Linked DNA regions of Mus musculus: region 2 is reported to be linked to region 1. The links are microRNA targets in miRTarBase. Many come from high-throughput screens and were not tested one by one. Region 1 holds a microRNA gene; the other region holds the end of a gene's coding sequence.

The links. Region 1 holds the annotated microRNA mmu-miR-448-5p (GAACAUCCUGCAUAGUGCUGCC, at 3,108-3,129, shown strand). A microRNA usually pairs through its seed, bases 2 to 8, with sites in the 3' UTR of a target mRNA and lowers its output. Matches are read on the target gene's strand: a 7mer-m8 pairs with bases 2 to 8, a 7mer-A1 pairs with bases 2 to 7 and ends in A, and an 8mer does both.
Region 2: miRTarBase lists Tbr1 as a target of mmu-miR-448-5p. Seed matches in the 3' UTR shown: 7mer-m8 at 3,052-3,058 and 8mer at 2,967-2,974.

What each region holds. Positions count from the first base shown.
Region 1 is chrX:147,155,114-147,159,515 of GRCm38, forward strand. Mir448 (microRNA 448) reads left to right here and starts at 3,097; the gene lies at 3,097-3,208. The region is part of intron 4 of Htr2c (5-hydroxytryptamine (serotonin) receptor 2C); the gene reads left to right.
Region 2 is chr2:61,811,521-61,815,922 of GRCm38, reverse strand. It overlaps Tbr1 (T-box brain transcription factor 1), which reads right to left. Exons shown (of 6, transcript NM_009322.3): 6 at 1,809-4,340. The coding sequence ends at 3,485. Among named protein-coding and RNA genes, the nearest start is that of Tbr1, 9.3 kb to the right of the region's middle.

The DNA.
Region 1 (4,402 bases):
ATGGAGTACATGAAGTATTCTATGAAGTCATTCTTTACTATTGAAGATCTGAAATGATGTGCTTAAATAGAATAATACATAAACAGTTTACATCTTATTAAATAAAATAACAAATACTACAACCAATATTTTATACTTTAAACAACAAGAAATGTTTCTAAATTGAAGTTTATTACTAGATATATTTACAAAAACTAAAGGACAACTACTATTTCACATAGATAAACTATTTGAACTCAAAAATTTTATGCTACTTCCACATGGTATGCCACCTCTCAAATAAAAATCTATGATAAAAGAGCCTTATAGGCATCAAGATGATATTTCACAATTTCTTTTATTAAATGGAAATACTTAAATCCACCCCCATGTTGATTAACTATTTCTAGAAGCATGTTGAAGAAATATGGACACAGACATTTTCGATGGATGATGGGTGGATGTAGCCCGTTAATGGCTGCATAGATGTCTTCAAGATCATGATAGAAAAATCGGGGAAAGAAACCTCTTCCCATTGTGAGGTCTGGTTCAGCAGAATTAGTTCACATTCACACATCCATGTTGTAAATGAGATGTTCAAACCAAGAAACCTTGACAGTCTATTGTAGTGTTATATCAGGAGTTTCCAATACTTTCCATATTCAGTCTTGATAGTAATCTGAAAAGAGTTGAAGATTTCAATACAGAGGCATCCAACACAAAGAAAATATTGAAAACCCAAAGTCTATAGGCTGCTTGGAGACAAAATGACACGTTGTCTATTGTTCTTCCAAGGATCTTGTTTCAAAACGTGGAGGCTAGACTAACTGGCAAACATGAGCTGTTTTGGGTGAGTGAACTGCCACTTGGCCTGACCAGAGTGAGACTGAGACCACTGGTTGAAATGAGGTCACTGTATACTACTTAGTCTATCCTTATTGGCTGAAAGTCTGAGCAAAGATGATGCCAATAATGAGATTAATTGTGACATCATGAGACATAAAAGTACTGGTACCTGGGCTGTTCACTATAACACAGGACACATTTCAGAGTACCCAGGCAGATTATACTTTCCAAAACTTTCCAGTATATCAAATATAAAGAGAAGATTATGGTACCAAAAATGTGTTAGGTTAGAGACAGAATACAGTTGGAAGACATGCTAAGGGGGGTTGGGGTTTAACCAGAGTCAGAATTTCAGAAAGGGCTGTCCATATAAGTACAGCTTCTGCTGGGTCATTACTTAGTGTAGAGGTTTACCTGGAAGAGCAGGAAGGGTTCTTGAAAAGGGTTATTTTACAGGTGTCAGTCTCCACAAAAAAAGCCAAAATCAACAAATTAAGAGAAAAGTCAATCATTGGAGGGGACCCAGTTATTACTAAAATTACATCAAATTAAGAAAAGCATGTAGCATTCTAATACATACTGGAGCCAAGCTGTGTGCATACTATTGACCAAAACATCCTATAGTACCGAGTCAAGTTTAATAGGGCATGTGTCATCATACATATTATATATAATATGAAATTATCATATGTACAACATTCACTTATAAAATATGGATATAATACATACGATGTAACAAACAACACCATACTTTATAGGTGTTTGTTTCTGCCAGTAAAATAAATGTGTATCTAACCTAAACATTCTTCCTACTTTGGCTTATAATGTTTGTTTCAGATATAGATATACTCTGCCTCAAGATGGCTGTAGCTAACAGAAAGTGAGAAATTGTTTAATGTCTGGCAGAAATGAACATGTACTAAAGACATACTTGTATCTCTCTTTCTTATTATCAGCCTCTTAAAACAATGGACCCAAATCAAAGAAGAACATATAGAAACATAAAATTAATGTCACAATTCGTATTCCCTCTCCTACATCATTGACCTATATATGACAAATGTAGCTAAAAATCATCATTATCATATACTTGGGAAGGCACATAATGCAAAGTTTTTGATATGTCCTTATACATATCAAACCACTCTGAAAATAATATATGAATAGAGAAATGGAAATGTTTATCATAATTCCATAGGAATGGCTTGCAGTCTGAGTGGAAGTAGATTAATTTAAAGTCACACCTTTCAGGAGAGTTAGAATTATTCTTGATTATATGTGTTCCCGATAGGAATATCACACTCCAGGAGATAAACACATACCTGTGAGTATAAAGGAAGAAGTAATGGGACTCGGGGTTTTAAAAACGAAGACATAAAGTTGGGTAGATGTGGAATGATGGTTGGACACGGACAGAGAAAAGAGAAGGAGCAGAACATGATTTTAAAAAAGAAGCAATATATATAATTCTCAAAATAATAAAAATTTCAAAGGTGTATAGAAAGCCTTAGAGTTATGGAACTTTCTCATTTGAGCAATTACAGAATGCTTTGTAAAAATTATTTGTAGCTCATAATAAACAACCCAGGTGTGAGTTTCTAGTGGACTTTTAGGGTCACAACTTAGAAATAACACAAAGTCCTCAGGCGTGATACTTGAGTGAGCAGAGCAGGCAGAATTTTCTCAGCTGAAAATTAGATGCTATACTATGCCCTACATAATTAATCCATTCAGGGTTTTCTCATCATATTACAGAACCACAATCTGTGATCTCAGCATGTTGCTTAGGACTACATTTTTGTTAATTAACAAATGGTTAACTTAGTCTGTGCCAGCATTGTTCAAAAATTATGTGCAGTATACTCCTTCAAGTAGTACAAACTGACTGTTCTATAGTGCAAGAAAACTGTGGGCATATTATTTAAAGAAAAAATTAACTGTAGGCAGTTGGGGTTGCCTAAACTTGGAATATTTCTAGAAAGGGTAACTCGTAAAGTGCTATGGAACCTGTATTATGGAGACAATTATTTTAAAGTTCTATAAATGTTGATAGTTCTGACATTTGGAGAATAATTGGTCAAAAGGGTGGATTATTGATTATCAGGTTTTTAGGCCATTCTGATTATCAGTACTCAATGCCATTCCATTCAGAACAGAAGACAAGGTCAGAAGAAGCCTTCGTGTCATCAATTGCACAGAGAAGCATCAACCAATGGCAAGTCCTCCAAAAGAGAAAAGAAGTTCCATGTGCAGCAGTTGTCCTTCCCATGGACGAGGAGGTTGAACATCCTGCATAGTGCTGCCAGGAAATCCCTACTTCATACTAAGAGGGGGCTGGCTGGTTGCATATGTAGGATGTCCCATCTCCTGGCCCACTTCGTCATGACAGATACTGGAAACACCATTCTGCTTGACTGAAGAGCCATAAAGTTTATTCGTGGAAGAAACAAATATGTTCAGTTATATTGTTAGGAAAATATTTTGATGGATATATTTATTAGAGGGTGGAGGCTAACTAAAATACTTTTAGAATACAAGAGGAAGAAGATATACTAGTGGATTTATAAATATCAACAAAGGGGATAGCAAGAGTCTGCAGAAATTCTTATAGACTCACAGGCAGAACTGAATAAATTGTATCACCCTCTCTTTACATGACGCCAGTATAAGAAGATTTGGTAGTTGTACATTTTAATTTAGGAAACTCTAAGGCAGAGTACCTAGAGTAAGAGATAATCTAATCCCTACTTAAAGAAAGAATGTCATTTATAGAGTAGAAGTTAGAAAAGTTAAAAATGGAATACTAAGAAGCCATATGCCTCATATCAGGTGTCCAGCAAGGATTCAGTAATTGTAAATAGGGTAGAAACAATCTAATAGTCAAGAATCCAAGGTACATAGAGCAGATAGGAATGATTGCAAGAGAGAAAGTGGTATGTCCCCCAATATTTTGAAAACATAATTGTTAGATCAAGCACCCAGTCAGATCCAAGGGACATATAATTATATTATATGTAATGATACATATTTACAACTCATTTTCAAGATTAGGCTTGCCTCATGAAATATCTTGTGAAATAAACATTTATTTACTCAACATTTAAATATTACTGTTTTTCAAATGTATTTGTAGTCATGAGTAAATATGTTTGATTTTTCTGTTTCCACATAAAAAGAATAAGAGTATGACTTATATGGGTTAGACATAGATTTTTCCATAAGGTTGATGACTAATTAAAGAGTAAAGGTTAAAAAAATAAATCTTGCATTTATTTTGCAAAGATTTGAGTAAGAAATTTTATGAAATGTGTCACTGAAATGAAGTTTCCCCAGTTTTCTGTTTTTAGTACTTGTTCTTAAATAATTAAGACATCTAGATCATTTTACCTTATATTCAGACAAACTATAATTTATTCTTTCTGAACCTATTGTTGTTTCTAGAAGTTTCAGAATTATTGGCCAATGTCACATAAATACATAAATAATTTTATCTCTAGTTTTCAAACACTAGACAAGTTGCTTAGATACTCATCTCAGTAAAACTTAACAAAATACCAACAGGTATTTGATGGTAGAT
Region 2 (4,402 bases), not on the chromosome of region 1:
AAAGCCACCCGGTACCCGGGGCGTGCCCTGGGCCGCCCCCAGGGCCCCAGTCGCCCGTCCGCAGCCACGGTCCCCTCGCTCCGCAGCCACCCAGCCTGGGTGCCGTCAGGGGGCCCGGAAAGCACGCGGCCCCCGAGAGGAGCGCGTGGCTGCAGCTTTCCCTCACGCTGACTCAGTCCACACAGCAGATGGCGGAGCTGCGAGGGAAACGACCTCGCCAGTGTTTTTGAAGCTGGCTAAGAGCAGCTAAGGCGCGTTTTGCTGCACGAGGCGCTCCGTTCCTGTGAAATCGCTCCTCGGAAGCTAAGGGCTTCGCTTACGCATTTGACACCACTCCGGGCCTCGCTCCTCGCCTGGACCCGGGGCCCGGGAGGCGGCGGCGGGGGGGGGGGGGGGGGTTGGAGGGGGCGCTCGCTCGGGGACGGCGCGCTCCCGCGAGCGGGTCTGGGGTCGGAGCGCGCGCTCGGCCAGCCCGCGGCCACGCGCCCTGGAGCGCTGACGCCCCCGCGAGCGCGCGCTCCTGCACGCGGCCCGGGGCAGCACGTGCTGCTGCTGCTGGGCCAGGCCAAGCGGGCTGGCGGGCGAGCGGGCGAGCGGGCGGGCGGGCTCCGAGCACAGCCCGGGGCGGGTGCACGGTCACGGGAGTACACTGCTCACTCCTCTCCCTACTCATATACACACACACCATGTTTGGTGCTTTTTTTCCCCGTCGTCTTTACTTCTTAGGTGAGGAGAGGGGAAAGGAAAAACAAAGGAAAAAAATCAGTCATCATTTTTTTCCCTCTCCATGGCACACGAGACTCCATGGAACGCCGTCTAGTGGCGGGATTGTCCAGGGAAGGCAAATCGGTGAAATCTCCCCCTCGACTTGTCATTTTAATTGCAATTTTGAAGCTTCGTTACATCTGTTGCACCACAAAGGTGACACGGGACACTCTCTGGGTGCTGATGAGTTTGATTCTGTCACCTCCAGGCCAACTGAGACTAAAGGAGAAGGTTGAACCATTTTCTTGTCCCTTTCAGGAATCACCCTCTTTGGAGACAAAAGTACAGAAGTCGCCTCTATGAGGTAAAGACAGACTTGCAAACTTTCTCATGAAATTCCTCATTGCCATTTGCTCTCAAGGGTGGGGACCTGACCTGGGTAAAACTGCAACTGAAGCGAGGATCCCCTTACAGAAGACACCGAGGTGACTCCAGGCATCACCCTCAATCCCCAGCCCCTCTCCAAAGCAAATTTTGAATTCGGTTCTTTAACAACAACCTTTCCCTGTGTTGGTTCTGTGGGTCTTTCTCCACCTCACCCGGAACAATGCCCTGAGACCTCCCTCTCTGAGAGGAAGGCCCGTCCAAGTTTGCATTTATAAAGATTCGCCAGTCACCTCCAAGGCCTCTTGGTAAAACCAAATCTTCAGCATCTGCAGGCAACAGTTTGTCTCTTGACTTGTCTTATATTGCACCCTACTCTAACCTAATGCCTCACAAATTACTGTGTGAACTTTAAAGAAATCCTTGGCTCAGCTGCAGACCCTCCTTGTCCTGTCATTTCAGCTTCGGAGAGAATGAGTGCTGGGACAAAGACAGTTTATATATTTTCCTAGAAAAGGCATACAGCAGCAAAGAGAACTATACTAACTGTAAATAAATAGGAAAAAAGTAATAGCTGGTGGTACTATAAAAGAGCGGGTGTAGGAAGTGGCTACTGTCAGACTGCCCAGAGCTAGGAAGAGGGGCTAGTCTTGCTTAACCCCTAAAAGCCATAACCTATAATAATTCTTTGCAAACTGTAAACTGCTCTCAACACCATATTTAGCATTTTACCAGATTTATTTTACTTGTTATACACAGACGATACAAACGAGCAGAAAACAAAACGATTCTCAGTGGAGTGTGTACTTGTATAAATTATTCAATTCACAGACAAAACAAAACAAATATAAAAAATCACAACATTTGATTTACAGGAGAGCCAAAGTATACCCACGTTTAGACCCTGAATTCCTATTAGGACAAATCCCCCCATAGACTGGAATCTAGATTGAATATTGTGTATGATGCATATTTCACATTGATTTTAAAGTACAAAAAAAGTATAAGTTTGCTACACAACATTAGAAATCCTACTAATCTATTTCCAGGGGGATTAATGCTCCTTATCAAATATAACAAGACTTGGGGGGAATCAGTCTTACTTGCAATAATGCTAGTGTTTTCCCAAGAAAGTCAAATTTCAGCTGTCTCTAAGTGGTGGGGGAATCGTTTTTCAAACTAAAATGCAGTAAAATATACAACTCACACAATTCATCTTCACTAGACTACACTATAGTTACCAACAATTCAGTCATCTATATCATTAGTAGATTACTCATTACAAAGATTTACAGCATATAAAGGTGGAGTGGGGTCTGAAAAGATAGTCAGAAACAGTTTATCAGCATATTTGGCACCTGCACAGACCAGTAATGGATTTGGCACTTTGGGGAAAAACAAATAAGGCAAAATAATATTGCTGATGTGGGGCCATTCCATTTAGAAGGAAGGGAGAAACACATAGAACTCCAGTTAAGTCCGCCTGGCAGGCATCGTGTCACTTACTCGACTCGCCTAGGAACAGACAACTAGCTTTTACAGGTGTTCAGGTGGATTCTCCTTAGCTACATTGTGTGCACCAGGGCACACAGTGGTTACATCATGCAACGAACTGAGAAGTGAGAAAGCCACCACTATGAAGTGCTTCGTGTTTCCAGAGCCTCTTAGAATATCTTTAATAACTCACAAGAAAACAAAGGGTGTGGGAGAAGAGAAAGAATGAGAGGAGAAAAAGAAAAGGAGAAGAAAGGAAAGGAATAAAAAGTTAAGCGTGAACTGGTTTTGTGCCTTGACAATGAGAATAAAAACTAGCCATTCGTTACAATAAATTAACACTATATACAATCATTTCACAGGCTTTGTTCCACTAAAAGTATTAACATCCCTACCATCCATCCATCCATCCATCCATCCACTCGGGTATAAGAAAGGACGCGCTGGGTGGGTGCAGGTTCTAGAGTCAACATCCTATGGTTAAATAGGGAGGCCAAGACAAGGCGGGTCGGAATCGCTGCTGCCTGGCAGGATTGCCCAGGTCTCCTAAAGTTGAAGAGTTTCATTCCAAGAGAAAGGAGAGGATGAGTGGGGCAAGGAGAAGGGGGTGGAAAAAAGACAGGGAGGATCATAACCTCACAGACGAAAAGTTGGAAAACCACAAGGTTTACAGCCAGGTTCAAGGTCGGTGCGCTAACTGCAGAGAAGGCTGTGTAGAGAGAAAGAAAGAAAGAAAAAAGAAGAGTTTTAAAATCATAGTGAGAGACCTGCACTTATCCCCGCAGACGGTCATCGAGGGTCAAGTGAAAGAGCGAGTGCGCTAGAACGGGCCTGGGAAGGAGGACGTGGGGCCGAGCTGGGGGGCCGGGGGCACGGGCGGGCGGGCGAGCGGGCTGGCGGCCTAGCTGTGCGAGTAGAAGCCATAGTAGCCGCCTATGTCCTTGGCGCAGTTCTTCTCGCAGTCCCGCTGGGCCAGCACCTCGCTCTTGAGCGGGGACGAGCTCTCAGACACCGGCGTGTCAGCCGGCGAGATCCGCCTCCGCTTGGCCTGCTCGTAAATCCCCGAGTCGCTGGAGTCGATGGATTTGATGGAGGAGGGCGTCTCGATCCAGCTGGAGTCGGACAGGTCCTTGGGCTTGGCGTCCTCGGCGGCGGGCGCCAGCGGCGAGCGCTCGGCCGCCAGGCCCTCGGCCTCCTCGCCCAGATAGGGGTTGGCGCCGGCCATGCGCGCGGCGGCCGCGGCGCTGTTGGGCCAGCAGGGGAGCACGGAGCCCGACTTGGCGCCGCAGTACTGCGGGGGGCTGCGCGCGCCCCAGCCCGAAGGGTCGGCGTAGTAGCCGAGCGGGCGGCCCGTGCAGCCCGCGGCCTGCAAGGGCAGCGCCTTCACGCCCGCGGCCGCATACGACAGCAGCGTGGCCGCGTTGCCGGCGAAGTCCGTGGCCGTGTCGTAGGCCGAGGCCGCGAAGTCCAGCCGGTTGTTGGCCGGCGTGACGAACCAGCGCTGCGGCGACGGCGCGCCCGGGTCCTCGGCCTGCTGCGGGGACAGCAGCCCGTTGGTGTGCGGCACGCTGCGGTCCGTGCCCGGCCCGGGACCCGCGCCGGCGCCCGGGTGGAAGCGGGCCTTGGCGTAGTTGCTCACGAACTGGTCTTGCAGGAAAGAGCCGGCCATGGCGTAGCGGGCGCCGGGCACGATCTGCGAGCGCGGAGAGTCGTTGGGCGACGGGGTCAAGCGGTCCATGTCGCAGCCCGTGTAGATCCTGGGGGGAGGGAGACAGAGAGAACCGAGGGATGGCGCGGAGGTCCCTTTGGGGTCCTGGAG